Macaca mulatta: one gene and its partners. The protein of the gene in region 2 interacts with the protein of the main gene of each other region in a pairwise test. Links are inferred from orthologs where the notes say so. Each region holds a gene or a part of one and is shown on either strand. Other genes may lie near its edges. The genes, in order: RBM41, HNRNPC, KPNA3, KPNA4 and KPNA2.

The links.
Region 1: the proteins of HNRNPC (region 2) and RBM41 interact in binary tests that used the Homo sapiens proteins (3 or more experiments, as listed by UniProt). The two-hybrid records come from large-scale screens. The link is inferred for Macaca mulatta from reciprocal best matches to the Homo sapiens genes HNRNPC and RBM41.
Region 3: the proteins of HNRNPC (region 2) and KPNA3 interact in binary tests that used the Homo sapiens proteins (3 or more experiments, as listed by UniProt). The link is inferred for Macaca mulatta from reciprocal best matches to the Homo sapiens genes HNRNPC and KPNA3.
Region 4: the proteins of HNRNPC (region 2) and KPNA4 interact in binary tests that used the Homo sapiens proteins (3 or more experiments, as listed by UniProt). The two-hybrid records come from large-scale screens. The link is inferred for Macaca mulatta from reciprocal best matches to the Homo sapiens genes HNRNPC and KPNA4.
Region 5: the proteins of HNRNPC (region 2) and KPNA2 interact in binary tests that used the Homo sapiens proteins (3 or more experiments, as listed by UniProt). The link is inferred for Macaca mulatta from reciprocal best matches to the Homo sapiens genes HNRNPC and KPNA2.

What each region holds. Positions count from the first base shown.
Region 1 is NC_133426.1:113,862,688-113,867,835, forward strand, and holds the end of RBM41 (RNA-binding protein 41), read right to left. Parts: intron 4,827-5,148; coding exon 4,679-4,826; intron 3,105-4,678; coding exon 2,938-3,104; 3' UTR 1,706-2,937; downstream 1-1,705. UniProt on the Homo sapiens protein: May bind RNA.
Region 2 is NC_133412.1:94,076,790-94,082,482, reverse strand, and holds part of HNRNPC (heterogeneous nuclear ribonucleoproteins C1/C2), read left to right. Parts: intron 1-902; exon of another isoform or gene 903-938; 5' UTR 939-974; coding exon 975-1,215; intron 1,216-4,386; coding exon 4,387-4,462; coding exon of another isoform or gene 4,463-4,501; intron 4,502-5,093; coding exon 5,094-5,141; intron 5,142-5,693. UniProt on the Homo sapiens protein: Binds pre-mRNA and nucleates the assembly of 40S hnRNP particles. Interacts with poly-U tracts in the 3'-UTR or 5'-UTR of mRNA and modulates the stability and the level of translation of bound mRNA molecules. Single HNRNPC tetramers bind 230-240 nucleotides.
Region 3 is NC_133422.1:29,022,849-29,028,997, forward strand, and holds the start of KPNA3 (importin subunit alpha-4), read right to left. Parts: upstream 4,249-6,149; 5' UTR 4,217-4,248; coding exon 4,148-4,216; intron 1-4,147. UniProt on the Homo sapiens protein: Functions in nuclear protein import as an adapter protein for nuclear receptor KPNB1. Binds specifically and directly to substrates containing either a simple or bipartite NLS motif.
Region 4 is NC_133407.1:63,731,770-63,738,163, forward strand, and holds the start of KPNA4 (importin subunit alpha-3), read right to left. Parts: upstream 4,314-6,394; 5' UTR 4,024-4,313; coding exon 3,955-4,023; intron 1-3,954. UniProt on the Homo sapiens protein: Functions in nuclear protein import as an adapter protein for nuclear receptor KPNB1. Binds specifically and directly to substrates containing either a simple or bipartite NLS motif.
Region 5 is NC_133421.1:77,785,353-77,791,724, forward strand, and holds the start of KPNA2 (importin subunit alpha-1), read left to right. Parts: upstream 1-2,281; 5' UTR 2,282-2,385; intron 2,386-3,663; 5' UTR 3,664-3,686; coding exon 3,687-3,761; intron 3,762-3,910; coding exon 3,911-4,048; intron 4,049-6,372.

The DNA of each region.
Region 1 (5,148 bases), on a different chromosome or scaffold from region 2:
TCTAACTTTGTCCCATGTGGTCAGAGGACACGCTTTGCATGATTTCAGTCCCCTTATATTTATTAAGGCTTGTTTTATGTTTTAACTTATGGCCTACTTTGGAGATGTTTCATATGCACTTGAGAAGAATATGTATTCTGATGTTGGGTGGAAAGTTATATAGATGTCTTTAAGGTCAATTTGCCTTACAATGTTGTTCAAGTCTTCTATTTCCTAGTTTATCTTCTGTCTAGGTGCTCTATTATTGAAAAAGGGGTAATGAATATTCCAACTCTTTTTATGGACTTACCTATTTCTTCTTTCCTTTCAGTTTTCGCTTCATGTATTTTGGGCTGTACCGTTAGGTGCATATATATTTATAGTTGTTACATCTTCTTGATGGATTGACCCTTTTATCATTGTAACATTTTACTCTATCTCCAGTAATTTTTTTTAAAAGTCTATTTTGTCTGGGATTAGAATAGCCACTCCAGCTTTCTTATGGCTGTTGTCTGTGTGATATATTTGTTTTCCATCCTTTTACTTTTAATCTATCTTCTAATCTAAAGTGTGTCTCCAATAGATGGCATGAAGTTGAATCAGACTTGTTTCTGACATCTCTGCCTTTTATAGTATTGTTTAATCCATGCACATTTATTGTTATTTTGATACAGGAAGATTCATGACTGCCATTTTATTGTTTTTGATATGCCTCAAGCTTTTTGCTTCTCCATTCCTTCTCTTGCACTGAGTATTTCATAATGTGATATTTATATTTCTTTAATAATATTTTTGATTTTTAAAAGTTATTTCCTTAGTGGTTGCTCTAGGGCTTACCATACACATCTTAACTAAACTGAATAGGCTTCAGATAAATACTAACTTAATTCCAATGTAACAACCCTATTCCTATATAAACCCATCCCCTGCTTTGTGGTATTATTGTTATACAGGTTATTTCTATACATTATAAACCCAACACACATTATTTTAATTACTTAATTTTACATCTTTAAAAGAAGCTGAGAGAAGAATAAGTATATGTTTATAGTTTTTTTATATTAAACTTCTTATTTCCTATTTCACATTCTCTCCATTTGTTACTGTGGATTTGTGTTACTATCTGGAGTCAGTTCTTTAGTACAAGACAGTTTTGCTTCCATTCAGCTTCTTCGTCCTGTTATTGGCAAATATATTATATTTTATATGTTATAGGCCAAACAATGCAACTATATACATATTGTTTTATACAATTGTTTTTTACATTAGTTAAGAGAAAAAAGAAAAATGCATAGATTGTTTCTGATAATTACATAATTATTTTTGCCTGTGCTCTTTTTCTGCATGTGTGTAGATTCAGATTACTGTCTGAGTTCACTTGCTTTCAGCCTGAAGAACTTCCTTTTGTATTTCCAGTAAGTCAGGTCTGCCAGCAACAAATTCTCTTGGTTTTTGATTATGAGAGATGTTTTATTTCACCTTCATTTTTGAAAAACAGTTTTATTGTATATAGGATTATTGGTTGACAGTTATTTTCTCTGAACACTTTGAATGTGTTATTCCACTGCCACTGCTACTGTTTCTGAGGGAAAGTCAACTGTTAATTTTATTTGGGTTCCTTGGTAAGTGATGGCTCATTTTTCTCGTATTGCTGCCAAGATTTTCTTTTTGTTTTTGGGTTTTAGCATTTTTCTTATGATGTATCTGTTTGTAATTTCTTTTTCTTCTGGGATGTATAGGTTAATGTCTCTCATCAAATTGGGGGTATTTAGAGCCATTATTTCTTAGAATATTTTTCTGCTCCTTTTTTTCTCTTCCTTTTTTCCTATACTCCTATTAGAAATATGTAGGAATGCTTAATGGTGTCACACGGGTTCTATACTCTTGTTTAATTTTATTCATTTTTTTTCTTTCTGTTCTTCAGCCTGGATAATATCTCAGTTCATCTTCACAACCCATTGAGGTAAGTAGCATTATTATCCTTACTTTATAGATGAAAAATGGGAGGCTCAGATTAAGTGACTTGCCAAGGTCACACAATGTTAAGTGTGGCTGTACAGGTCTGACTCCAATTTGTACTACTTCCTCTCTGCATAGTCTTTTTATTTTCCAGCAACCATAAACAAACAACTGGGGGATTTGTGACTGGCATCCTCTTTTCTAGAGAACTCTTTCTTTCCATTTCCCTTTGGTATTCTTTGCTAGTATGTTCCTCTTCTAAAATTCATATGCCTAATATTTAACATATATTAGACACTTAATCAATGTTTATTGCTTTGAATTCAATGGCTACTCAATGGTTGGTAGCTTAAATGGCTATCAGAACAACAACATTTTGATCTAAAATATTTCACTAGAAAAATATATAGCTTTTTGAAGACTGATAACTTGTGGAGGAAGCATTCATTAAATATGTCCACTGACTTATGAAACTACCTACTATTACTGCTGATAGTTCTGACTTAATAGCATTTGTTGATGCTTAGGCCTGGGGTCCTGCTCTTTTATTTACTAGGTGGATGAAATATGGACAAATGGCCTCTAGTAAATAAATATTTCAACATTTAATTAGTTTTTTGTTTCTGTATATAGGAAGCAGTCTAAGAAAGAATGTTATCTCTAGAGACAAATATTGAGGACCCCAGAAAAATTATAAAGATTTTAAAAAATCCTTAGGAATAATCCTTTTTAATTTATCCTGAGAAAATAATACTCTTTGCACTCTACCCTTCATATTCAGCATATCATCTGTCCTATATAGTCTTCAATTATATAAAAGAAAATGTTTTCTACCAGTTCTCTCCAAAAGCTGAAAGGGGTTGTCCTAATTACTTTTTTTCCCCTCCCTCAGTTAGTTTTTCCTCTTCAACTCCAAACAAACTGGTGTCTATACATAAATCCTAGATCCAAGATTCCAATTCAAGAAAGACCATCCAGGACCCACAATCTATATATATTCTAGCTACCACTGATTTCTGTAGTGCTACCTGTAGCACATGATATGAGAGAAGTCGCTTGGAGATTTGACCGTTGCTTTTTGTTCTTTCCAAACTCTATCACCAATATTTTCCCACGTAGTTTATATCCATTTACTAGATGCAATGCTTGCCATGCTATCTCCTTATCTAAAAGAGAAAGAAAAAATTTCAATTTACATAGGACTGAACAATTCAATTCTATTCCAGGTCTAGTTTAGGTTATTTTGCCTTGGAGTTAAATGTAAGCTATAAGGCCATATAGTCATTTGATTTTTATCATTTTTTCTATAATCTCCCATTTGCATTATTCAGCAAAATTAAATTAGTGACTAAAAATAATAATAATAATAATAATAACTCAAAATGGGTGTTTGAGGGTGTCTCCTAATTCAAAGAAATAAGTAGAGAAACAAAAATATAGGTAGTGTGCTAAAGAAGTCTAAGCTATTAGTAATTATATATAAGCCTCTACCTTAGGTAACAGATTATAGGTATTATTAGAATCAATCATTTTCAAAATGAGTAATGCAAAAAAAGTTATGTTATTGAGAGCACTTTGCTACTTCTATTTTTTTTTTTCAGTGGGAGAGTGGTTCTGGGCCACCTTATTGGGATAAATAAGTATAAGAACCCTTATAGGCATATGGAAGGTTGAAATGTGAGAATATATACATATGCCAGGAGTATTCAACTTATGGGTCTAAGAGTCTGGATGTAAGAAATAAGGAAGGGATGATTTATGGCCAGGAGTTTGTGGAATCATAAGTAGACAAGTAGACTGACCAATTTTGTTTCATATATATATGTACTACAAATTTTTTTAAGTGTATAGCTTTCAAGATTAGTAAAACAGCTATACATTTTAAAGTACTTGCTTTAAAAGCCTTTTTATTATGTATTTTTTCAATTAATACATCGTATTATATGGGGCGCCCATAAACTTGTTTTTAAATTTAAAGGGGGTTCTTACACTTGAAAAGACTGAAAACCACAGTTACAGAGCATTTAGAAACTTTCAGTATGATAGGAAAGATGACACAAGACTGTATGAAAACAATGGAGGGGAGTTTGGCAGTACTCATGTGTAAAACCACTTGCCTACATATAGATTAATAGGCTATTTAGAAATGACGATACTTTAGGGACAATGAGAGGTACAATGAAGGCTACAAAGCCTTCCCCCAAAACAACGTATTATCTGGTCTGTCACAGAAACTGAAATTCTTATATTATTCTTCCCGTTGGATTAGAAGCTATGCATTAATTAATATGCAAATAATAATTAGAAGACTGTATCATCATCTACTAATTATGAATAAGTAATAAATTAGTATATTAGCTTGTGCTCACTTAGTCCTAAAGGAACAGTGCATAAGGCAAGTACATGTGTTCTGATCAGAATACTAATACACTAATTAATGAGTAATCTAATTATAACTTGGACCAGAAATACTGTTGTCAGTAAAGGGAGTACAGATTTTGGTAGGGTAAGAAGGAAGTACCAAGACTGGGAAAACCTGAGGACACTGGGGTAGTGTGGCCATGCACTGTCAATGGAGGAGAGGAAAGAGAAAGAAATACTGAAAACATATTTTTCGTTCCTTCTCTTGTTCTCACATGCTGTGGAGAAATCAAAGGACTATATCTAAATTAGAGAGGTTATAGGTAGTCTCTAGCGAACTGAGGGGCAACTGAGTAATCATCTGGATGAAACTACTTACTGGGAAAGGTGACAAAAGCCTGGCCCCTCATTCGTCCAGTCATCATTCGGAATTGAATTGGAGGTCCTTTTTTCTCCTGGAACCGAGCGAACAATGACACAAGATCTCTTTCAGTCACCCGAGGGCTAAGGTTCTTCAGGTATAACACCTAAAACAAATTGAGAATCAACCAAAATATCATAAAAAGGAGGTAAGGCAATTCTTTTTTTTTTTTTCTTTTTGAGACAAAGTCTCACTCTGTCACCTAGGTTGGAGTGCAGTGGCGCAATCTCGGCTCACTGCAATCTTGGTCTCTTGGGTTCAAGCAATTCTCATGCCTCAACCTCCCCAGTAGCTGTGATTACAGTCATACCTGGCTAATTTTTGTATTTTTAGTTGAGATGGGGTTTTACCATGTTGTCCAGGCTAGTCTCGAACTCCCAACCTCAGGTGATCCACACGCCTTGGCCTCCCAAAGTGCTGGGATTACA
Region 2 (5,693 bases):
GAAATAAAACATTTTCACTTATACAGGACCTGAGATGGTATTGTGAATCTTCATATTGTTATGATAGTATTGAGCCTCCATCACATATGTAAAGACAGATAATTTTTGGTTTTAAATAATTTGTGGAAAGTTGTGTATTTTTCTTTAGTTCCCCGATCCTTAATTTGATTCATGCCGTGTTCCACTGGCTAGTTTTATCATCATCACCATCCGATATTATTAAATGTCCTATATTTTAGGTTATATAAAAAGTAGCCTTGGAGTCATTGCAGTCTGTAAAAAAAATGGTATTGATACTTACGTATCTAAAGCATCCTGCAATTAATTGAAGTATCTGGAAATAGGCATTTCCAGTATAAATGAATTGATTCTGTTTATTGCCTTTTGAAGAAAATTATACTTAATGGGTAAGTGTAAGCTATCCATATTAATCTAGCTAATGAATGGCTTGGGACAGAAGTTGACATTTGCTATGCTGTGTGTATATATACAGAACCGGTAAAAATAAAAGCAGCGTGAATCAAGATTATTGATGGCAGGGAACAGTTAGCATGACCTGTAATGTGAAAAACAGCAGAAACTGGTGTCAGAGAATTTAGGCAGTTCTAATTTGCTTCAGTTATTAGAGGAGGGCCATTTGGAATTATGTCCAAGGAAATTTATATTGCCAATGACCTGCCAGGGAAAATTTTTTTTTCCTGGTAATTGAGAGTTTAGTGCCGCTGAAATAGAATGAAGAGGAAGAAGTTGAATTTCTAGAACATATTCAGAGGCTGGAGTCTCTGAATTTATTAGTAAATACATAATGCTGTGAGTCCCTTTAAGTTGCCTGATACTCTGGGCAGTTAACAGTGTTTCAGAGTGAGAGTGGAGAATGTTTTATCAAGGCATATTGTTTTTAGCATCTGTTCACCTGAATACTTTTTTTTGCTTTACAGTTTTCAGCTTTGTGAGAAACCTTATCATCAAACACAATGGCCAGCAACGTTACCAACAAGACAGATCCTCGCTCCATGAACTCCCGTGTGTTCATTGGGAATCTCAACACTCTTGTGGTCAAGAAATCTGATGTGGAGGCAATCTTTTCGAAGTATGGCAAAATTGTGGGCTGCTCTGTTCATAAGGGCTTTGCCTTCGTTCAATATGTTAATGAGAGAAATGCCCGGGCTGCTGTAGCAGGAGAGGATGGCAGAATGATTGCTGGCCAGGTTTTAGGTAAGGTCTCCATTAAGTTAATTTTTTCATTGATGATCAGGCCTGAGTTTTTCGATTCATATTTTTTTGTTTTTGTTTTTGTTGTTTTTTATGTCTGTAAAACTGACAGCCTGAGATATTCTGGATATTGTGCCTATTCAGTCTAATAAAAATACATTAGGCTTATAGTTATAATTGGCTAAGTAAAGGATATTCTTCATTGTACCATTTTGTGTAGTAGAGACAGGACAACTCTCATTTGGCAGTTGTGAGTAGGGCGACCTGGGAATGACACTTCACAGTGTTAAAATGTTGCCTAAATGGTTATATCCTCCCCACAGCAGACTGGTGGACCCCTCTAGTGTTGTTGACTGCTTGTCTCCTCATTGGGGTTTCGCTCCATTGTTGGGCCAGTTGCAGTTTGGCTCAGTCTTAGATTTTCTTGTCTTTTCAAATGTAATGACACCTCAGAGTACTACTTATGATTTGGTTTATTCAAGCCAGAATGCAGCGTCCACATGTTTATTTGATTAGTTGTACTAGATGTCTGTTTTAACTTCCCATTTTATGTGTACTTTGTGCCTCAGTTTCAAAATAATCATACCTGTGTTTTTACAAAATTAAGATGATTATTTTCAATTTTATATTTGTGGTTTTATTCTTTGTATACATTCTACTATGTCTGTTGACTCATAGCACGATAGGTTAGAGTTACATGAAACAATTCTCTGATAATGTTATGTAACCAACCAGATACACAATTTGGGTCTATTTCATTGTTTTTACATCTTACTGGATTGCATTTTCAGAAATTCTATCTTTAGTTTTAAAACACTATATGGTTTCAAAGTCAGAATTGTAAATGAGGTTAACATACCAAAACCTGAAGGTTATTCATGTAATGGTGTTCAGCAAATAGACAGTATATTCAATTTTTGTTGTTGTTGTTGTTTTTTTTTTTTTTTTTTTTTTGAGACAGTCTAGTTCTGTCGCCTAGGCTTGAGTGCAGTCTTGACTCATTGCAACCTCAGCCTCCCAGGTTGAAGCGATTGTCCTGTTTCAGCCTCCCGAGTAGCTGGTACTACAGGAGTGCACCACCACACCTGGCTAATTTTTGTATTTTTTGGTAGATACGAGGTTTAACCATGTTGGCCGGGCTGGTCTTCACCTCTTGACCTCAGGTGATTCTCCCGCCTCTGCCTCCCAAAGTGCTGGGATTACAGGCGTGAGCCCCTGTACCTGGCCTCAGGCGGTTTTCAGTTGTTCATTTGATGAGGTCCTTTTGTATAAAAAGGTAAGATATAAAGGATTAAGTTTTAAGATATGCACGTTTGGCGAGGTGCAGTGGCTGATGCCTGTAATCCCAGCATCTTGGGAGGCGTAGTTGCGCTGGTCATGAGGTCAGGAGATGGAGACCATCCTGGCTAACACCGGGAAAAGCCGTCTCTACTAAGAATACAAAAAATTAGCAGGCCGTGGTGGCGGGCGCCGGTAATCCAAGCCGTTGAGGCAGGAGAATTGTTTGAACCCGGGAGGCGTAGGTTACAGTGAGCCGTGATTGCACTCCAGCATGGGCAACAGGGCAAGACTCCGTCTAAAAATATATATATATATGGAATTTGTATATTTTGGGGCATGTGTGTATTAAAATGAGACTAATTTTAAAGCAGTATATATGAAAATGGAGGTATTGTTGACTGAGTGCTTTAGCACGACTGGGAAGTTAAAAAACTGAATTGGCTTTCTGACATGGGGTTTTTAGAACAAGGAGAAGATGAATTCTTGTTTGGAAGGTCATGGGTGGCAGGGTAGGTAGCTGGGCTTACGTGTTACAAATTGTATTTGAAAACTAGGGTTGTTTCCCTTTGCTCTTTTATTTTTTTGATATATGTAAAGGTTATTTAAGCAACTTATGAATTATTCAGAAAGCAGTTGTTAACCCCGGATGTTTTACATGCAGTACAGCTAATCCTTACTTATAAGGGAAATCTGAAGTTGCCTTTGAGGATGATTTGAGGGTGTCACACTGCACTATATTGTTTTGTGGATTGGCGTATATTTTAATATATTTGTAATAATTCGGAATGAACTGAACCATTCTTGGAAAGGTAACCATTGATAGTTTTCTCTTGTAATAGTAACTGAGTGAACAGTCAGTGCCTTGAATGGGGAGAGTTGAGTTAAAGTGGGATCTGAGGGTGGAGAGTACCAAAGACAGACTTAATGTTATGTCTCAGGAACACTTTAGTGGTACAGAACAGAGTGCAAATACATAGAAGATGAAGTCTTAGCCTTGTAAAAATTTATGAGCCTTTTTAATATTAAAAGGAGAGATGAAGCTCAGCATGGTAGCTCACACCTGTAATTCCAGCACTTTGGGAGGTCAAGGCAGATCACTTGACCCCAAGAGTTCGTCCCTATGAAAAACAGAAAAATTGGCCGGGCGCGGTGGCTCAAGCCTGTAATCCCAGCACTTTGGGAGGCTGAGATGGGCGGATCACAAGGTCAGGAGATCGAGACCATCCTGGCTAACCCGTTGAAACCCCGTCTCTACTAAAAAATACAAAAAACTAGCCGGGCGAGGTGGCGGGCGCCTGTAGTCCCAGCTACTCGGGAGGCTGAGGCAGGAGAATGGCGTGAACCTGAAAGGCGGAGCTTGCAGTGAGCTGAGATCCGGCTACTGCACTCCAGTTTGGGCGACAGAGCGAGACTCCATCTCAAAAAAAAAAAAAAAAAAAGAAAAAAACAGAAAAATTAGCCAGCGTTGGTGGTGCCTGCTACTTGGATGGGAGGATCACCCAAGCTTTGGAGGTCTAGGCTGTATTGAGCCATTATTGCATCACTGCACTCCAGCTTGTATGACAGTGAGACCCTCTCTTAAATAAAATAAAAAAAAAATAGGAAAGATGAGTTGTTTTGTTTCATATTTTCTAATTTTTATGTCTGTGATTTTCTAAACTTTGTACTAGCTGGGCATGGTGGTGCCCGCTTGTAGTCATAGTTACTCTTGAGGCTGAGGCAGGAGAATCCCTTGAACCGGGCAGTGGAGGTTTCCGTGAGCCTAGATGGCACCATTGCATTCCAGCCTGGGCGACAAAGCGAAACTATGTCTCAAAAATAAAAAAATTAACTTTGTAGTTTGTTTTACCTGGATACAAAGTTGTCACTAAAATTTTTGCTTTTGTTTTTCAGATATTAACCTGGCTGCAGAGCCAAAAGTGAACCGAGGAAAAGCAGGTGTGAAACGATCTGCAGCGGAGATGTACGGGTCAGTAACAGAACACCCTTCTCCGTCCCCTCTACTCAGGTCCGGAAACTTTATTATTTATAACTGCATTGTGTCCATCAGTGGGCATCTTCTCTATCTGTTTTCTGGATGTGGGGAGGGTTAAGTGTACTGTGTTTTATCTGTGTGTAAATAAGGTTTCATTATTTTTGTGTTAATATGTCTCTCTTTTGCCCTAGCGAAAATTACTAGAGAATTAAAAATCCCTGAGGTTTTTGCTATTGATGTTTAGGAGTAGTTTGATATTTATAGCATAGCCTGAAATACTTCTACAGGATCGTTGAGCTTCTAAGACACCAGAGAGTAAGAGAGGGAAGAAGTGTGGTATAAGAATGTTTAGTTTACCATTCTGTTTTTCAGTGTTCAGTTTAACTATGTCGTATGTGGAAATCTTAGTGAATTTTAACCTGAATTACCAATTTGACCACTACATTTCCAGTGGTCTAAGGTGATTGGAATTGAGTGATTTATTGTATGAATGATTGGGGATCATTCAGTGCTAATCTTGTTGATCTATCTGTTGTGGTTTATTTGGCATGGTTCTCCCCTCACCTGATGTTATGAATTAGTAGCAACGTTTCCAAATTAACCCTTTTCGGTATTTATTTTTCAGCTCCTCTTTTGACTTGGACTATGACTTTCAACGGGACTATTATGATAGGTATGTTAAAAGTGTTTTGCCTTTCTGCTAAACAGCTATTAATGAGAACCATTTTGTTTTTCTAGTTTGTGGTGATGAACATCAAAGATGTTTCCAAACATACTCCCTTTCCTCCAAAAGAAAAAAATAACCTTAAGTAGATTATTAGGTAGGGTGATAATGATTTTAATGCATTATTTCATAATGCCTGTTTCTACTAAAAATACAAAAGAATTCGCTGAGTGTGGTGACTAGGGACTGGGTTATGGGTGGCTTTGGGTAATAGATTTAGAACTGATGATAGCAAATACTAAACAAGAAATAGAATGATGTGCTTAAGAGTGTTACCACATTGACAATCTGATATCAGTCTCAGTTAACATGAAGTAAATGTTAGACTTATTTGGCTTGTCGTGTTTAAACTCATGCAGTATATGTAAGTATATGGAGCAAACTATTATATGCAATACACTTTAAAAATGCAATATATAAAGCGCATTACTTTATATGAAGCATAGTACTACTATTTGTCTTAGAATACCAGTATTCTAATCATTAGTATTTTAATGTTAT
Region 3 (6,149 bases), on a different chromosome or scaffold from region 2:
TAAGTATTCATTAAACAGAACATTTCTGTTTTGCACACTTTTCTACAAGTTATCTTTGAAAACAGGAAAAAAGTTTTTAAGAATCAATGCCTTACATGAAAAGGTCTAGTATTAAAATGCACATTCCAGGACCGGGCATGGTGGCTCAGGTCCCTAATCCCAACACTTTGAGAGGTCAAGGCAGGGCGATAACTTAAGCTAGCAATTTGAAACCAGCATGGGCAACATGGCAAAACCCCATCTCTACAAAGAACACAAAAATTAGCCGGGTGTGGTGGCATGTGCCTATAGTCCCAGCTACTCAAGAGGCTGAGATGAGAGGATGGCTTGAGCCCGGGAGGAGGTGGAGGTTATAGTGAGCTGAGATTGGGCCACTGCACTCCACCCTGGGTGACAGAGCCAGACCCTGTTTTGTTTTGTTTTTTTAAAAAGCACATTCCAGAACAAATAAAAGGAAATGTTTCCCTTCCAATATGTACTTCCTAGTTTTAGCTACAAAATCCATTCCCCTACCCAAGCTCCAAATTTCTATCAGTGATAATAATTACTCCTTCCCTTCCTCCATCTATAAACCTCAGAATAACCTTTACCCCCTTTCTCTTCGGTGATCTTTACAAAAAGAATGTGAAGGAGGAGGAAGAGGGAGGAAGAACAGCATCATCAAATCCTCATTCCAGGTTGTAGCCATTCCCAGTCTTAATTTTTTGGAAAACTCTTCCTTGCAGACCAGATAGCAGCACTATTTCTCCAAAATGAATTCTAGGTATTAACTGCCCTGTCACCCTTTCCATTGCTCTAATCATGTTACACCTCCTCTTTGCTCTGGAATAAATTCCTTCAGATCTCCCTATCAAAAAAAAGCTTCCAAGCAACTCTTTGCCACAAGATATTCTTGGACCAACACAGGCCATCTGGAAGTCTCCTCTCTTTAATATAATCACTCTTCTTTTTTACCTGGATATTTATTCACCAGTTAACACGCCCCTTTTAAGTTTGGTACATACTTCCTATAAGATTCACTAACCTCATTTTTTTTTTCCTCTCCAAAAATCTCTTAAAGTCTCTCTTGATTGAATGATAAAGAAATTTTCTTCCTCAACCCTGTCTCTACTCACAATCCCCTGGCATAACTCTATCCTTTTATTTTCTTTAACAAGTATGTGTCTTATTCTTGCACCTAACATCTTGTGTATCAGCTGGTTCTACAATTTCTAACATGTTTCAGCTTTTGTCTATCCTGTATGTGAAAAAATAGGCATCACAGCTTATCAAAGTGCATCTCACTGTTTTAGAACAGCCTGATAACCACAACTACTCAGTTACAGAGCTAAGTTGTACTATGTTTCTAATGGACAAGACTAAGCATGGTTATCTACTCTTAGACATGCCTAAATCCCCAATAAAGGCCCTTCATCAGATTTGACCCCAGTTTACCTTTCAGTCTCTCTCTCTCCTACATTTCTCTCAGGACTCTTCAATTACTGCTCCCTCTGGTCTGGAATGCCCCTTTCTTCCACCGGCCTTCTCCCGCTCTTTGCCTGGCCACCTTTCTTTCATCCTTCACAATCAGCTTACTCCCATTCATTCATTAGAAATCAACCAGAGTATCTTCCCTTTCTGCTCACCTCCAAGTAGTTTTTTGGCATGCATTTTCGGAATACTACACTGTAACAATTGTTGTTCTGCATTGTAATTATCACCCCCACTGGACTGTAAACTCCTTGAGGTACAGACTGCATCTTATTCCTTATCCCCAAGACCTAACATTGATAGATACCCATAGACAATCAGTGAATAAATAATACCCATATCCACTGAGTGACATGCACAGGCTACATAAGCACACTGAGGTTTTGTACCTAAAGTTCCAGCTGGGTGTGATGGCTAGCATCTGTAGTTCCAACACTTTGGAAGGCTGAGGTGGGAGAATCACTGGAGCCCAGGAGTTCAAGACAAGCTTGGGCAATAAAGCTAGACCCCCGTCTCCACAAAAGATTAAAAAATTAGCCAGGTGTGATGGTGTCTGCCTGTAGTCCCAGCTACATGGGAGGCCATGGTGGGAAGATTCCTTGAGCCTAGGAGTTTGAGCTTGCAGCTGAGCTAGGAGTGCCTGAGCGCTTCAACCTGGGTAAAGAAGCAAGACTCCGTCTCAAAAAATACTTTCCTCATGTAAAGTGGGGATAATGCCACACCTAACTCATACACTTGTTACACAGATTAAATAAGGTATCATGAAGCTCTTAACGCGGTGTCTGTCACATTAGAACTACCATTTGAATGTCTATTTCATGTGTTAGTTACCCTGTAGAGTCCCGAGAAATGTAATGTTGTGACCAACACCAGGCTGAATGGCTTAGCAACCATGCTCTTTTTCATGCATCTAAAAGTCACTGGTTACATTCTTATCATCAGCAAATATTTGTTTTGTACCTATTATGTGCAGGAGTCCTTACTAAGTATCACTGAGCTACCATAACACAATAATAGAGGTAAACAATGAAACAAAAACCTGTACCAATATCCAAGAGAAGGAAGAATGTTACTGGTTCTTCTGTACCAACAATATGAGTATTTTTCAATACATTTTTATTTGGAACAGGGTAGGCGTCAAGAAAAATTCCTAATGGGAAAAGTTCAAAATTAACACTTGTCATCAAGTGGACCGATAACAGGAGGCAGTTCCAAAATTTCTTGTGTCTATTCCCAAGTTTTACTTTTGCTTAGATGTATTTCTCACAAAGGATATTTAACCATGACCAGGAAAGAATATATGATCTTTGACTCATTTAAATGGGAATTCCACGGATATCTCCCTAGGTTTTTTCCTACTAGTATTTAATTTTGTAGCTCGAAAAACGGCCTGAGTTTGTCTGTTTCTCTACAAAATAGAACGCTGAATGGTGTATTTACCCCCACAACCTTCCTTAAGATAGGATAAAATACACACCTCTTAATCACACCAGCTTCTTACCAAAAATTACAAAACTGCAAATCATGTCGGCTAGTATTAGAAAAGAAGGCTGTGGCCTTAAAACTATTTTCCCCCTAACAAATCCAAAGGTCACGGTCCCAGTGAAGTTTGTGCATTATACTTACTGTTTTCAGTAGCTGCAGAGAGACCTCTAGCGCTGCCTCAACAAGCCGAGTTTGCAAATAGTACCTGCTAATGTCACCTTAATGAGACAATGGCAACATGCTGAGTAGCAACTAACTGAGTGACCGCGATGAATGTTTAGTTTTGCAACCACTTGGAAATTCTACTAGCTTGGAGCAAGAGGTACGTAAGAGGACGTATGAACCCTATGTATCCAATTTATTTTAGTAAAACGTGTCAAAGAAATTGTATCACTCTATGCACACCCCACTCCAAGAAAGGCTAAGAAAACAAGTCCTATAAACGGAGGTCAGAACAACCTCTTTTCCGAAGCCTGAACACAATAGATGGCAAACTATTGTCCACCTTCAGCTCGCTCCAAATGCCAGCAGTTGCAGGAGTATGAGCTAGAACAGCTCGGCACGACTAGTCCAAAGACGAGCACTGGAATATAAGAAAATGGTCCTGGCGCATCCTACCCTCCCCCATCCATCACCCTCAAACAAGTCAGTTACCCGGCTGGTCCCCACCCCCCTCTGCGGGCCGCCACCGCCCGCCTGGGCCCGGCTAGCAGAAGGTAGCAGCCGGGACCGGCAGAGGCGAGGCTCCATGTGCAGCCGCGCGGGAGGCGCAGAGGGGGCTGCACCGGGCGGAAGGTTGCACCAGCGGCGGGCGCAAGCAGCGGCCGCCCCCTCGGCTGTGCGGTCGGCGGGCCGGGGCGGCAGCATCCCCGTTCATTCGGGCGGCCCCGGCCCGAGGACCCCGCCTCAGCTCCACATCCCCTCCTCGCCGACACAAGGCCGCGCCCGCGTGACGGGGCCGAAAACCCCGGCATTTCCCGGTCGCCGCGCCGGCAGCTTCGGAGGGTGACTGCAGCCCGGCCCGCGTCTCACCGCCCGCTCCGCCCAACCCGGGGCCGCGGTGACGGGAGGCGGCGGCCAACTCCGGCCGACCACAAGCCGACGAGAACCAGCCCGGCGCCGGCCCCCCGCCCCTCCCCGCGTCGCCGGCCCGGCGCGGCCAGGCGGGCCGAGACCACGGAAGCACACTCACTTCCACATCGCGGCCCTTGTTCTTGAAGCTCTTGATGCGGTGGTTTTCCAAGCTGGGGTTCTCGGCCATGGCTGCGCGCGGCTCCAGCGGCGGCTACTCCTGCGGCTGCGGCGGCGGCGGCGAGTCTCGGCGCGGGAGGGGGAGGAGGAGGAGAGCAGGAGGGGGGAGGGTGAGAGGAGAGCACGTTCCGTGACGCCTCCGAGCGCGAGGTGGCAGTAGCGCCGGGGGAGGCGCGGGCAGACTGCCGGGCCGGGTGGGGCGGGAACAGTGCTGAGAGCGGCGCGCGCCCGTGGAGGCTGGCGACACGTGACCGGGGGCGGCGACCGGCTTGGGCGTTCGCCGGGCTGGACGTGCCAGTTGGTTCTCGGGATGACCCTGCCCTCTTTCCCTGCTAGGGCTCTCCACAATCCCTGAGTGCTGCAAGTCTGGTGTCAGAAATGGAGCCGGACCTGGCGGCTTTTACCGCCCCTCAGGCGCGGGTGGGGGGAGCGGTCGTCAACTACAGTTCCCAGCATGCCACGATCCGCCTGGGGTAATTCTCCACGCCTAGTGCGAACGAGGAGAATGCCGGGACCCTTGCGCGCGCGGCTTTTTGCGCGCCGCGCTCAGATTGCTGGGCGCAAAGCTCCGCCCCCACAAGGCGGCCTCTGGGCGGGGAAGAGAGGGGAGCTTCCCTGGCACCTTGCGCCCTATCAGGAGGAAGAGGGCGGAGCTTTCTGGGAGCGCACCTCGCTGCGGGTAGGTAGAAAATCAGAAAAAGAACAACCGCGGGTGCTTCGCAGTCTCGCTTTTTTGGAGGTCTTCCCAAATAGCAGCCACCTTCATTCGCTGTGTCCATGCTCTGCTTCAGTTTTATAAATAGCATTTATTTCTAGCTGACATGTACATGTGTATCTACGTGATACGAGTGTTTACGTGCGTTACCTGGCTGCCCGCACGGGAATTCAGCTCAATGAGAGCAGGTACTTTGGTTGAATTACTGCTGAATCTCTAGTGTCAAAACAATGCCTAGCACGTCGTAGATACGCAATAAATACTTGTTGAAGTGGCGCTTTAGTGTCGCCCAGTTTCTCATCATCCTCCCAACCCCGGTTCTGCAACCTTCACTCTGGCAGTCCCTGTATTTCCATGCCCCCAACACTTCTTGTTCTACCACCACACATAATCTTAGCCTTCAGGCAGCAGCCAAGCCCTGGGTCGCACACTTTCCTGTGTAGCACTCCCACTCCCTCCGGGGGCATCGAAGGAATGAAACAGGGAAATTTGGATGGATTGCACTGATAAAGAACTGCTTTCGGCCGGGTGCGGTGGCTCACGCCTGTAATCTCAGCACTTTGGGAGGCCAAGGCGGGCGGATCACAAGGTCAAGAGACCGAGACCAGTGTGGCCAACCATGGGCCACATGGTGAAACCCCTTCCCTACTAGATATACAAAAATTAGCTGGGCGTGGTGGCGCGCGCCTGGAGGCTGAGGCAGGAGAATCGCTTGAACCCGGGAGGCGGAGGTTGCAGCGAGCCGAGATCGCGCCACTGCACTCCAGCCTGGCGACACAGGGAGACTCTGTCTCAAAAACAAACAAAAAAAGCTGCTTTCTGGAGCAGGTGAGCTTCATTAGCTTGTATGTTAATTAATTTTCATAATCTATGGTAGACATGAGCAGGTATGTAATGTTGTAGTACTTATAATTTAATTGAACTGAGGTCAAAAGTTGGTAGGAATATACCATGACGGGATCAAAAAGGACAATCTTTAAACCAAAAGGGCCTTAAAGAGCTTGAGGCTCTGGCCGTGCGCGGTGGCTCAAGCCTGTAATCCCAGCACTTTGGGAGGCCGAGGCGGGTGGATCACGAGGTCAGGAGATCGAGACTATCCTGGCTAACATGGTGAAACCCCGTCTCTACTAAAAATACAAAAAAAAAAAAAAAAAACAAAAACCTAGCCGGGCGTGGTGGCGGGCGCCTGTAGTCTCAGCTACTTGGGAGGCTGAGGCGGGAGAATGGC
Region 4 (6,394 bases), on a different chromosome or scaffold from region 2:
TATTTTATGCTCTATTTGAACCCAGACACTCAGAACTTTCATAAAAAGTATGCAGATTTATTAGGAAATCTACCAGAAAATTCCCCTCTACTTTAAAAAACATAAACTATATGAGCTTAATTTACTTTATCCTGACAAATTTTTTATTTCAAGTTTGGTCACTACCCATTTCCTGTGTTGCACTGCATACCCTCTTTTCTATGGTTACTATTCTCAAACTAAGACTGGGGATCTTCAACCACACTGTAAGAAGCAGCCATGCCATGGTGGATATCATCTGATAGTTCCTGAAAATTATTTTAAATGGGTACTCAACCCCATATGCCTTCTTTGATGCTTTTTGTCTTTCAAGAAACTTAACATGACCACATTTTAGAGGAGCCATAATGGTAGGAACAAATATCAGATTGAAATCTATGAACTTTCAACTCCAACACTCAGAAATTAAAACTTTAAAAGGATCACTAATGTGGTGTGTCTAAACTGCCCTTCAATGAGCAACTACATGACTCTGTATTAAAAACTTTTTCTATTTTGTTCAATGTAACAAGTTATACAAGCAGAGAGAAAAAAGAGCCACTGAAACTAAGGGAGTAAGAGAATCAATTATACTGAATCCTATTAAATCCCTTCCCTCCCCCCAAACAGAAAAGCTGAAGGTGATAAAACGCTCAGAGAATTGCCAGGCATCTTCCTAACATTACCTATTAATCTTCACAACACTCATGAAGCAGATGTCAAGTACCTCTAGTTTTACAGATGAAAGAACCATAAGACTAAGCGATTTCCCCCAAGGTCATACACAAAGTTAGAGATCAAATTAAACTAAACTCTAGGACTTTGTACTCTTCATCATTTCTAATCAAATAAACTGTTAGATCAAAATATGCTACAATTACCTCTCCCTAAATGCTATACTCCGTACATGGGCTGTTCCAGTAAGGTAGCCACTAGCCACATGTGGCTATCAAGCACTTGAAATGCAGCTAGTCCAACTGGAGGTATGCCATAACTGTAAAATACAAACTGGATTTTGAACGTATGAAAGGAATAATATGAAACCTCTCAATTATTTTACACAAATTAGATGTTGCAATGGTGTTCTGGATGTACTGGATTAAGTTAAATTCACTGGACAGCACTGGCCCATAATTCTTTCCAAAGACTTCCCATGAAATAGATGCCATCACAAGATCCCAGTCAAAAAGCAATTATTTTCTTAGAATTTGCTGTATTCTACATACATTATGTAATGCAATGTAGTAACCATATCTAAAGGGTGATAAGTGTTTAGAGAGATGCAGCATACATGTAAGTAACAAATACACAAAATAGACCACCGTAGTGTTTTCTAAACATAAAAAAGAATGTTTCTATCTCATTACAAGTATATGAGATTTTCAGTAAGCCACAGTGTGGACAAAGTATGACTTTCCATTAGAGTCATATGTTATTTCCTTAGGTGGAAAAGTGAAAATATTCCTACCCCTAATGTATGCAAAAGGATATTAAAGTCACCAGAGGACAACCATAAGGCACTATGAATTTCTAAACAAACAAACAAACAAACACCCTCGTTAATGTCAATGTATACTTGTTTTTTTAAAGTCACACATCACAATCTTCTTCTAATACAGCCTCAGCACTTAATCTGATTTTGACTAAAGTGCTAAAAGATATGAGGTAGGAGGAAACATCAATTTAAAAAATAAGGATAACTTCAGAAAGTCTGACAATTCCACCAAAGGTTGAACGCCAGTTTCCATATGATCTAGCAATTCTATTCCTAGGCATATAGCCAAGAGAAATAAAACATACGTCCACACAAACATGTTCTTAGCAGTATTATGTAAAATAGCTAAAAAAGTGGAAACAATGAAAATGTTCATTAACTGATGAACGGATAAATAAAATGTGGTATATCCATGAGCTGGAGGATCATTAGGTCATAAGGAGAAATGAAACACTGATACATTCTTGTTACGACATGGATAAACCTTGAAAACATTACACTATGGGAAAGAAGTCAGTTACAAAAGAGCACAAATTGTACAATTCCATTTATATGGAATGTCCAGGATAGGCAAATCTAAGAAGACAAAAAACTGGTTGCCTGGGGCTGGGGTAGTTGGGAATTGGAGAGTGACTGTTAATGAGTACAGGTTTCTTTTTGGCGTGGTGAAAATGTTCTAAGATTGATTGTGGTGATGGCTGCAAAACTGCGAATACACTAAAAGCCACTTTAAGTGGGTGAATTGTATGCCATGTGAATTACATTTCAATGAAGCTGCTAGAAAAATGAAGCCAGAAATGTAGAGGAAAAAAGGGTTACAGGGATCTGTCAAGCACCTAATTGCTCTTTTTCTGGATTCTGTAATTTTGTGGTAATTATCAGTTTTTAAGTTTTATCATTTGTGATTTTTTTCTCATTCTAAGTATTCATATTAGTAAAAAACATTTTCACCACCACAAGTAAATTTACTGAAAAATCATTGTTATTTAAGCAGCTCATTTTTATAGCATGCGAATTATCTCAATAAAGATGTGACATCTTTGTATTAAAAAAGGGATCACAACGGTAATATGTTAACCTTAAAAGAACCACAGAATTAACAGCCCTGGACACTTAGTACTCCCTCAAATTATGAAACCCACTAAAACGCATAAACTACTTTAAAGATAATATTAACAGCTTTGTAAAAAGCCCAAAAAATATTTCAGTCAAGCAAACGCTCAAGTTCAGAAATGTCATGGGAAGTTGAAGATTTCATTACGAAAACATACCGAGGAACAACATAAAAAATACTGCTTGACCACTTTCCCTAAAAGCTAAACTCGTGATTAAGATGCAGAAGGGAAGTATTAAAATAAATCTATTTATCTAAACTATTAAAGCTGAAGGGAAGAAGTCTTCTATCAAAAATCTCAGTGGGGTGTGTGGGTATGCGTGTGTGAATGCATGTATTTAAACCATACGCCCCATGTAGACAATCTGGGGAGCAGCTGTATCTAAGACAATGATTTTTTTTTTTCTTTTTTAAATAATCAAACGTGATGGTGCCATTCCCTAGCCCACCCCATCCCCCACTACCACCACCAGCAGGTGGAGGGAAAGGATACTGTAGACTAGAGGATGACAGCTTTGTATAACCCTTTGGACTTTATATGTAAGAATGCAGCTGGTGGTCTCCTCTCAGGAGGGGGTAAAGAGATTTGTGGACAAGCTGAAATAAGGGGTATCCTTTGCCTGGAAGAGGGCACACCGTGAGCCACATCTTGAATCAGCTATATCCAGAGTAAAACACAGGCCGCTGGAAGGCACTGTTAGCATCACCAGGATGGCCTCTCACGCCGGGGGTGTTTTTTTCAACGGAGAAGTTGTCCTGTAGTTTGGATATTGGGGGGAGGCAGGGGTAAAGCGGGAGTCGGGAAGACCAGAAAAAATGCCTTTAAGTGGAGACGCCTCAGGCCTCGCTGAGGAAGTTCAGAGCCCCACTCGGTCGCCACACGCTCACCCTCCCACCCCCACCGCCCTCCTTCCCGCAGCGCCAGACGTCGGTGCCCGAGCGAGAGCCGGAATCTCCGCCGCTGCCAGGGAGGGCCGCGGCCCGGGCCGGGCAGCGCCGACCGCACACGCACGCCTCCTCCGCACGCGCCGCGCCCGGCCTCCCCGCCGCGCGGCCCGACCCCTCGCACCCGCACCGGGCCGGCTCTGCCGGGCAGGCCTAGGCCGCGCCGGCCGTACCCGGGCACCTCGCTCCCCGGCGGAGGCGGAGCAGGCCCGACATAAACTTCCCGGCGCGCTAGCAGAGGCGTCACGGACGGGCCGGCCCCCAGCGCCATTCCCCGAGGCCCGGAGGCGGCTCCCGCCCCTACTCCCCACACTCGGGGTCCCGGCGGAGACCGGCCCCAGGCCCACGGCCCCCACCCCTCCGGCGTCGTCCAGCAGTTTACCTCCAAGTCGCGGCCTTTGTTCTTGAAATTCTTGAGCCGTTGGTTGTCCAGTTTCTCGTTGTCCGCCATGGCCGGGCCGGTGACTCCTTCCCCCGCCCGGGCCCCGCGGGATCCGCCCCAACCACCGCGCCGCACCGACACTCCCAGGAACCGGGTCGCCGCCTGAGCTGCTGTGCTCGCCGCGCCGCCGCTTCCTTCCTCCTCTCACCTGCCTCCGCCGCGGCCTTCTCCTCTCCCCGCCCGCCCCCCCGCCCTAACCCCAGCGCGACTGCAGCTCCGGCAAAGACAACTGTGGGGCCGGGCGGCGGCAACGGCGGCGGAATGTGCTGCCGGCTGAGAGGGGGAGGCAGCCTCGATCTGAGGGCCCCGGAGCTGCGGCCACGCCCATCGCCTCCAGCCCAGCTCGCCCATTGGCCAACCAGGCTCCGGTGCGTTCGACCAATGGGAAGGGGCGATGGAGAGCCGGGGCGGAAAGAGCGAACGGAAAGGGGAAGCGAACGACGCTGGGAGGAGCCGGCTCGGGGCCGGGAGGGGTGCGGCTGGGGTAGGCAGGGAAGGACCACGTGCCTTCGGAGAGATGGGGAGGAAGCGACAGAGAAGTACACTTCAGGGGAAACCAGCAAGGGGAAGGAGAGGCCGGGGAACGCAGCAGGGCGAGTTGTTTTGCATCACTCGTCCGGGAAGCCCTAGATGCAGGGGTCCAGGGTCGAGACTGCGTTAAAGTAACGTTCTTCTCTCCCCGGGCGCGCCCTGTCTTCCTGGGCATTCCTTGCGCTCTCTGTTCGCTTTGCAGAGAGATCTGAGCTTCGCTCTTTCCCAGGTCGGACGCTCGCAGCTCCGTTCCCGGGCTGGGGCTCCCTGCCGTCCAGGGTCGAGTCTGGGGGCCAGGACCTGCAGGGATGACGTGAGTTGAGGAGGCTCAGCGGAAAGCGACAGGAACGCTGGGTGGAAAAGGAAAGGGCCCAGTAGACGTATCTGATTTATCTTCTGTGACTAAGCGCCCGCAACAGGTAGGAATTTAGGCAGAGCTGGTGATCCTTGGACAATAGCACTTCCTAGGTAATTCGTCTTAGAAAGTTAAAGAAGCTGCTTGACCACAAAGTATGAACTTCTGGAGGGCGGAGCCCGTGGCAGCTGACAGGGAATATTGTCTGTTGAGAAAGGAAATGAATTCCAGGGATACCAGGGACAACAACATTACCAGAGGCAGAAATGACACGAGATACAAAAGAACGTATTCAAAAATTTCACAAAACAGAAATGGAAAATTATCTTAAAATATATTGAAATATCAACGAATAACATCTCAAATGTCCAGGGATATGTAAAGCAGCAACTCTGGTCGGAAGCAAGGAATCGAGGCGTTGGGTGTGTTTAAACTTGGCTAGGCAGGGAGAAGAGACCCTGATACAAACTCCTTCAGAATCGTTGACTCCCGGTCCTTTCTAGTGTATTTTTTGAGCAGAACAACGTGCAGAGATAAATGTTTAAAATGCATATGTTTCTTAGGGAAACACTTTTAAAGCCAACAGAGGGGAATTTTTTTTTAAGTTAAAATGGAAGAAGTCAGTGGGTTTAACAGATGTGAACAACTGAGTTTCCTTTGGGGGAGAGGTAATGAAAAGAGCCGGAGTACTTTAGGAATCACTTTGGAGAGGATATTGTAGTGGGGGAAAGGAAAGTAAAAACTTAGGAAGCAGAGTAGTACCTTTAAAGTCGTCAATACTTTATAGACCATCAACTGGGCTATGGACAACAGAAGCTGTGCCTGGGAATAACTCACACTGAAGGTTAACTTGAATATAAATTTAGAACAGATCTTAAATACAAATGATGATGTTCATTATAAAATGTTATTCCTCAAAGAGTCATTTAATTGAAGTAACATTGTATTTGCATACCAGAGCACTGATGTTTTTCAAAATGTGTTTAGGATAAGAAAATTCACTTGAAAAGCTGGAGTATGTGTGTATTTTGTGCCATCATGGATTTTATCATAAGCAGTGTTCAAGAAAACAAATTACCAGCGAATTCCCACCCTATGAATAAAAGTTACCTTGTCAACGTATCAATAGATGAACATTTTGTTACTTCTTGGAATACATGTCATGGTAGCTTTCATGATGAAGTTTATAGAAGTGTCCGTTACATGTCTTCGTGTCTCCAGCTACAACTGAGTGTCTCTGATGATTAAACAACAACCCGAGTTTTCTCTCTGCAGAAGACTCCTAAAAAAGGGTTGCAATTAGTTACCAACTCAGAAAGATGCAATACAAATAGGAAATAACCGCAATTTATGATTTTATTTGTTTATCTAAAATCTGTCTTCCTCCCTAGACAGTAAGCTCTCTGAAGTTAAGAAGCATAGTTGTTTTGTTCACTACTGTATACCCAGCACCTAATAGTACTTGGCACATAAGTACTCAGGAACTATTTGTCA
Region 5 (6,372 bases), on a different chromosome or scaffold from region 2:
CTCATCCTTCCAAAGTGCTAGGATTACAGGTGTGAGCCACCGTGCCCGACTATATCGTATCTTTCAAAGGCAATTTTGGGCATTATACTTCTGTTTCAGGTTGTTTTTAGGTGCAAGTACAGAATAGCGGTTCAGAATACAGATCCTGGAACCAGGATCTGTTATGGCTGAATCCTGTCTTTGCCATGTACTGGCTGTGTGACCCTGGACAAGTTACATAAACACTTGTGATTCAGTGCTCTCTTTTGTGAAATAGAGCAAATAACAGTACTACCTCACAGTTGTGAAGATCAAGTGTATTAATACATGGTAAACACTCAACACTTCTGGACACATAGTAGTCAGTATTTTCAAGCAAAAGAAACTCAACTTGGCTTGGTATGGTGGCTCAGGCCTGTAATCCCAGCACTTTGGGAGGCGAAGGTGGGTGGATTGCTTGAGCTCAGGAGTTCAAGACCAGCTTGGGCAAAATAGTGAAACCCTGTCTTTACAAAAAATACAAAAATTAGCTGGACGTGGTGGTATGTACCTGTAGTCCCAGCTATTTGGGAGGCTGAGGTGGGAGGATGGCTTCAGCTCAGGAGGCAGAGGTCGCAGTTAGCCAAGATCGTGCCACTCCACTCCAGCCTGGGTGACAGAGCCAGACCCTGTATCAAAGACAAGAAAAAAAAAGAAAAAAAAAAAAGAGAAGAAACTCAACTTGACAATACAAAAGAAATGTGTATCGGATCTCATAATTGCAAACCTTCAGAGATAGAGCGGGTCAGACCTCTCAAGGTTTCCCTACAGTTTTCTTATTCAGATTTCTAGGACTCACATCCCTCAGTTCAGAAGAACAGAGGCTGCTTTCCTACCTCCAACCAGTAAACAAAAGGCACGGGCTGTCCAACTGGATGAATTTAGGTCATGTGCCTGCCCCTGAACCATTCTCAGTAGCTGAGAGAATGCCTCACAGTGATTGGTTTAGGGGTGAATTCCTTCCACATTCTTGCATTTAGGGGGATGGGATTATGCTGATTAAGAGTAGGTGCAACCCTTTATGAACTCTGGCTGCTATACAATGAATGAGGCTGGCATTAATGACTGCAAGAATGGACAAATTTGGTGTTTGAATTTATTTATAGTAAGAAATAAACCATGACAACTTTTCTAAAATGTAATCTTTTAGAACACAAAAAAATTGCAGAAACAAAAATGGCCCATAATCCTGATGCTCTGTTGACCATCTTTGTTTTGTTTCTTCGTTTGAGCATATGGCAAAAAATGCAAAATTCAGAAATGTGTAACGAGCATAGAATGTTACTGGAACAATTGACAAAACTTGAACACAGACTACATACTAAACAACAGCATGAAATTTCAGTTTTTCTGAATTTGACGACTGCAGTGTGGTTATGTAAGAGAATGTCTTTTCTTAGGAGATACACCGTGAAACAGAGGAAAAAGGACATGATTCTGAAACTCTCAAATGTTTCAAAAAGTAACATATTGAAATCACACATAGGTACACATGTGCATAGGTATACATATATATGTATAGAGACAGCAGTAGCAAATGTGTTAACATTTGGCAAATCTGGATAAGGATTTGCAATTCTGCTGCATTTGAAATTATTTAAAAATACAAAACTTGAGTGTTTGGAGAAACAGGAATAAGAAATATTTTGTTACTATATTTGCGGCTTCTATACAGTCTTTTACGACGCAATTGAAAAAAAAAACTAAACTAAAAAATATAACATAAATCTTCCCTCCCATAGTGGCCAGAAACCCCTGCCAAGTTCTTCGGATATCGTAACAGGAAAAAAATGCAAAGCAATATGTCTTTCTATAAAGATTACTTATTTACTAATTATCATTTTTTAATTTTCATGAAGATCAACAACAAAGTTTTTTTAAAATAATGACTTTGAGAATCATTTTGCGGTATTTGTTTAAGGCTCTCGCCCAGGAAAACGCCCAGGGACCATGCGCGCTTCAACCCAGTGGAAACACGAAAGGCCCAGGGACCGCCCCTTCGCGTTGCTTGACGGGATCTGGAGTCCTCCCGCTCCGCCCTGCCAGGCGCTCGGGAACCGCCCGTCTGCTCCCTCATCTCGCGATGCCATCCTCCTTTTTTTTTTTTTTTCCCCCCTCCCACTCGCCCCTAAGCCCTATGACTCCCTCCCCTCTCAACGTGTTTTTCAAATCCACCAATGGGCACACAGCTTGGGCTCGAACCAGCCAATCGGAATGCGGAGTCACCGGGAAATTTAAATCGCGCCGGCCGGCTGCACGAGCCACACGGTCTTTGAGCTGAGTCGAGGTGGACCCTTTGAGCGCAGCCGTCCCACAGCCGCTGATTCCCCGCATCGCCTCCCGTGGAAGCCCGGGCCCGCTTCTCAGGTACAGACTCAGGCGGCGGCTCGGCCCGAGCGCTAACGGTTTGCCCGCGGGCGGCGTTCGCCTTTGGGTGGGGGGAAGGAGGCCCCGGGTCCACGCCGAGCCTGGCTCAGCCTCCCGCGTTGTCTAGGCCTCGGGGGCGACTGGTTCATTGACCAGGCGGCTGAGTTTCGCGGGGTCTGCGGGTTTAGGGCGCCGACGCTCTTCAAACGGCAGCGGAGACCATAACGCGTCGCGGCCGGGAGAATCGGAGCGAGCCAGGCCTGAGGGCGAATGTCCCGGGAGGGCTCGTGGCGGCCCTGGCCTCGCTTCCCCCTTTCTTGTTGCATCTTCCCCGACGTAGGGGCAGGGGCAGGGGCTGGGGGTGGCAGTTGGGAGCACTGTCTCTGACACTTTGGCCCCGGGGTGGCTGTGCCACCAAGTCGTAGGCGAGCGTAATGAAAGCAAAGATAGCAAATTGTAAGGAGGGCTTTGACTTTTGTCGTCTTCTGAATGACGCACAGCTGATGTCGTCCTAATTAAGTGCATTCGCTCCTAGTCTCTGGAAATGCAAATCAAATATGCGACATGCGGCACTGCATTTTTAATGTTGACCATAATGTAATGATGAAGCAAATTTTTTTTAGTTTTCGAATCTGCACCTATTTTGGCCAAGTAAAGACAGTAAAGTAGTGCGAGCCTCCTGAGAATCTGAATTTATTGCCCTGGCACATAATTTTTAGCTGTAAGTTAACTTGGTTCCCCTGCTTTGCCTTGGATTAACTATTAGGGACTCTGGAGTATCGAGCCAGGCTGTCAGAAACGGTGGACACACGTGGCTAGTCCAAATTGAAATACGCTGTAAGCTTAAAGTACACAAAAGACTTCAAAGATAGAGTATGGAAAAAGAATGTAAAAGATGTCAGTTATTTTATATATTGAAATATATATGTTGAAATACTATTTGGATATGTTGGGTTAAGTAAAATAAATTATTGAAATTAGTTTCACTTGTTTCTTTTCGCCTTTTAAAAAGTATGGCTACTAGGAAGTTTCAATTTATATAGCTTGCATTCTATTTCTGATGGACAGCCCTCTCCAGGAAGTCTCAGCGCTTCAGAGGGAAGGGGGACAGTTCCCGTTTGGGTAAAGCTATTTCATAGTGCTGAAAGCATGATGATCCCCCCTCTAGTATACAGGTGTGGATTCAGTAGATGCTTGATAATTCAATTCTTATTTGGTACTATTATTGACAAAGGAAAATGATAAAGGAAATATTTTTTCTCCTCGCCCATCTTTTAGCTTTCTCCCTTTGTCTCATAACCATGTCCACCAATGAGAATGCTAATACACCAGCTGCCCGTCTTCACAGATTCAAGAACAAGGGAAAAGACAGTACAGTGAGTACCTTCTGTTGCTTTCCTGTGGTGGTGTTTAAATGGGAGGACATTTGGAAAGGGGTGAAAACTTAGGGATCTTTTTAAAAATACCCTCACTTAGCAACAAAAACTGATGTGATAGGTGAAACGGCATGTTATCTTTTCTCAAGGAAATGAGGCGTCGCAGAATAGAGGTCAATGTGGAGCTGAGGAAAGCTAAGAAGGATGACCAGATGCTGAAGAGGAGAAACGTAAGCTCATTTCCTGATGATGCTACTTCTCCGCTGCAGGAAAACCGCAACAACCAGGTAAAAAATGTATTTTGGTTTATGAGTTACGTGAAATCCAGAAAATCAGTAGGAACTTTTCTTAGAAATTCAAGTAAACTTAACATTTTTAGCCTTAGGTTGTAACTATCTGTGAAGATCTTTTTCTCTGTTCCCAATTAGTAATTGTCTTCTTTCCTGCCTTCCATAATCCACTGAAGCTGATTTAGGATCTTCCTTTAGCTCTGACCTTCCTTCAGACTTCCCTGCATTTCTAGCTGCTAACTGGGTACCTTGACCTGACCACTGTGTCCAGAGCCAACCAGTTTCTGGTTTATTCTTTTTTTTTTTTTTTTCCCTAGACGGGGTCTTGCTTTGTTGCTCAGGCTGGAGTGCAGTGGCACAATCTTGGCTCACAGCAACCTCTGCCTCCTGGGTTCAAGCAATTCTCCTGCCACAGCCTCCTGAGTAGCTGGGATTACGGGCACGCACCACCATGCTTGACTAGTTTTTGTATTTTTGTTTTGTTTTGTTTTTTTGAGTTTCCCTCTGTCGCCCAGGCTGGAGTACAGTGGTGTGATCTCAGCTCACTGCAAGCTCTACCTCCCAGGTTCACGCCATTCTCTTGCCTCAGCCTCCCAAGTAGCTGGGACTACAGGCACCTACCACCCTGCCCAGCTAATTTTTTTCTATTTTTAGTAGAGACGGGGTTTCATCATGTTAGCCAGGAAGGTCTCTGATCTCCTGACCTCGTGATCCACCCGCCTCGGCCTCCCAAAGTGCTGGGATCACAGGTGTGAGCCACTGCCCGGTCTGTTTTTGTATTTTTAGTAGAGGCAGAATTTCACCATGTTGGCCATGCTAGTCTTGAACTCCTGACCTCGTGATATGCCTGCCTTGGCCTCCCAAAGTGCTGGGATTACAGGCGTGAGCCACCAGGCCCTGCCCGTTTTTGGTTTATTTCTGCCTTTTTTGGTATTCTCTCTTTTTTTGTATTTGTCACCAGCTTTGTTCAGGACTTTCCTTCTGAAATATTTACGGTAGCCTCCTAAGTTATCATTTCCTCCTTTCTGTGCCATATATTATTTTCCTGAAATTTTTCCTAAAGTACTGCCTTAGACATGTGTTTTCTCTCCTCAAAATCCATCCTCCAAATTGCTTGAACCTGGTAGGTGCAGGTTGCAGTGAGCCAAGATCGTCCCATTGCACTCCAGCCTGGGCAACAATCAAGGAAAAAAATAAAAATAAAAAAATTCATATTCCAGCTGGGCATGGTGGTTCATGCCTGTTCATGCCAACACTTTGGGAAGCTGAAATGGGAGGATCACTGGAGGCCAGGAGTTTGAGCCCAGCCTAGGCAACGTAGCAAGACCTTGTCTCTATAAAAAATAAAGTTAGCTGGGCATGGTGGCATTGGCCTTTAGTCCTAGGTATTCAGGGGGCTGAGACAGAAGGATCACTTGCCAGGATTTTGAGGTTGCAGCGAGCTATGATTGCACTACTGTACTCTGTGCTGGGTGACAGTGAGACACTATCTGTAAAAATAAAAATCCCTGCTCCATGAAGGCCTTCCATAAAGTAGACCTATCTTAGATTTTCAAATTTATCTTTCATCTGGGCACTTTCCTACATCTTTTTCTCACAATATGCGTCCTTTTTTTTTTTTTTTTCTTAAGATGAAGCCTTGCTTTGTTGCCCAGGCAGGAGTGCAAGGCACCATCTTGGCTCACCACAACATCCGCCTCCTGGGTTCAAGCGATACTCGTGCCTCAACCTCTGGAGTAGTTGGGATTACAGGCATGTGCTACCATGCCCAGCTAATTTTTGTTTTTTTCCAGTAGAGACGGGGTTTCGCAATGTTGGTCAGGCTGGTCTCGAACCCTGACCTCAGGTGATCTGCCTGCCTTGGCCTCCCAAAGTTCTGAGATTACAGGTGTGAGCCACCACGCCCAGCCACATTATGCTTCCTTTAGCACTCCACATTTATCTTTTTTTTTTTTAATTGAATACTACCTATGTTCTATATCTAGGGTACTAATACTCAAAGCTCATCTTCTCCTTATAGCACTCCTTAGTCTAGCAGGAAAGACACTTCTTTCTCAGGATTCTCTAGCACCTGGTTCTGCACCCAAAATGGGGAGTAAATGCTGTGTAGCCCATCTATTTACCACTTGTTTTACGCTGTTTGTCTCCTTGTCACATTTCCTCTGTGAGGCGTCAGGCTCCTGGAGAGACAGGGATACTGTCTTTTTAAATTACGGGTAGCACTGGTTCTCAAACCTTTCTACTGTGATTCACAACATAAATATATATATATATTTTTTGGTGGGGGTCGGGGAATGGGTCTTGAGCTGTTACCCAGGCTG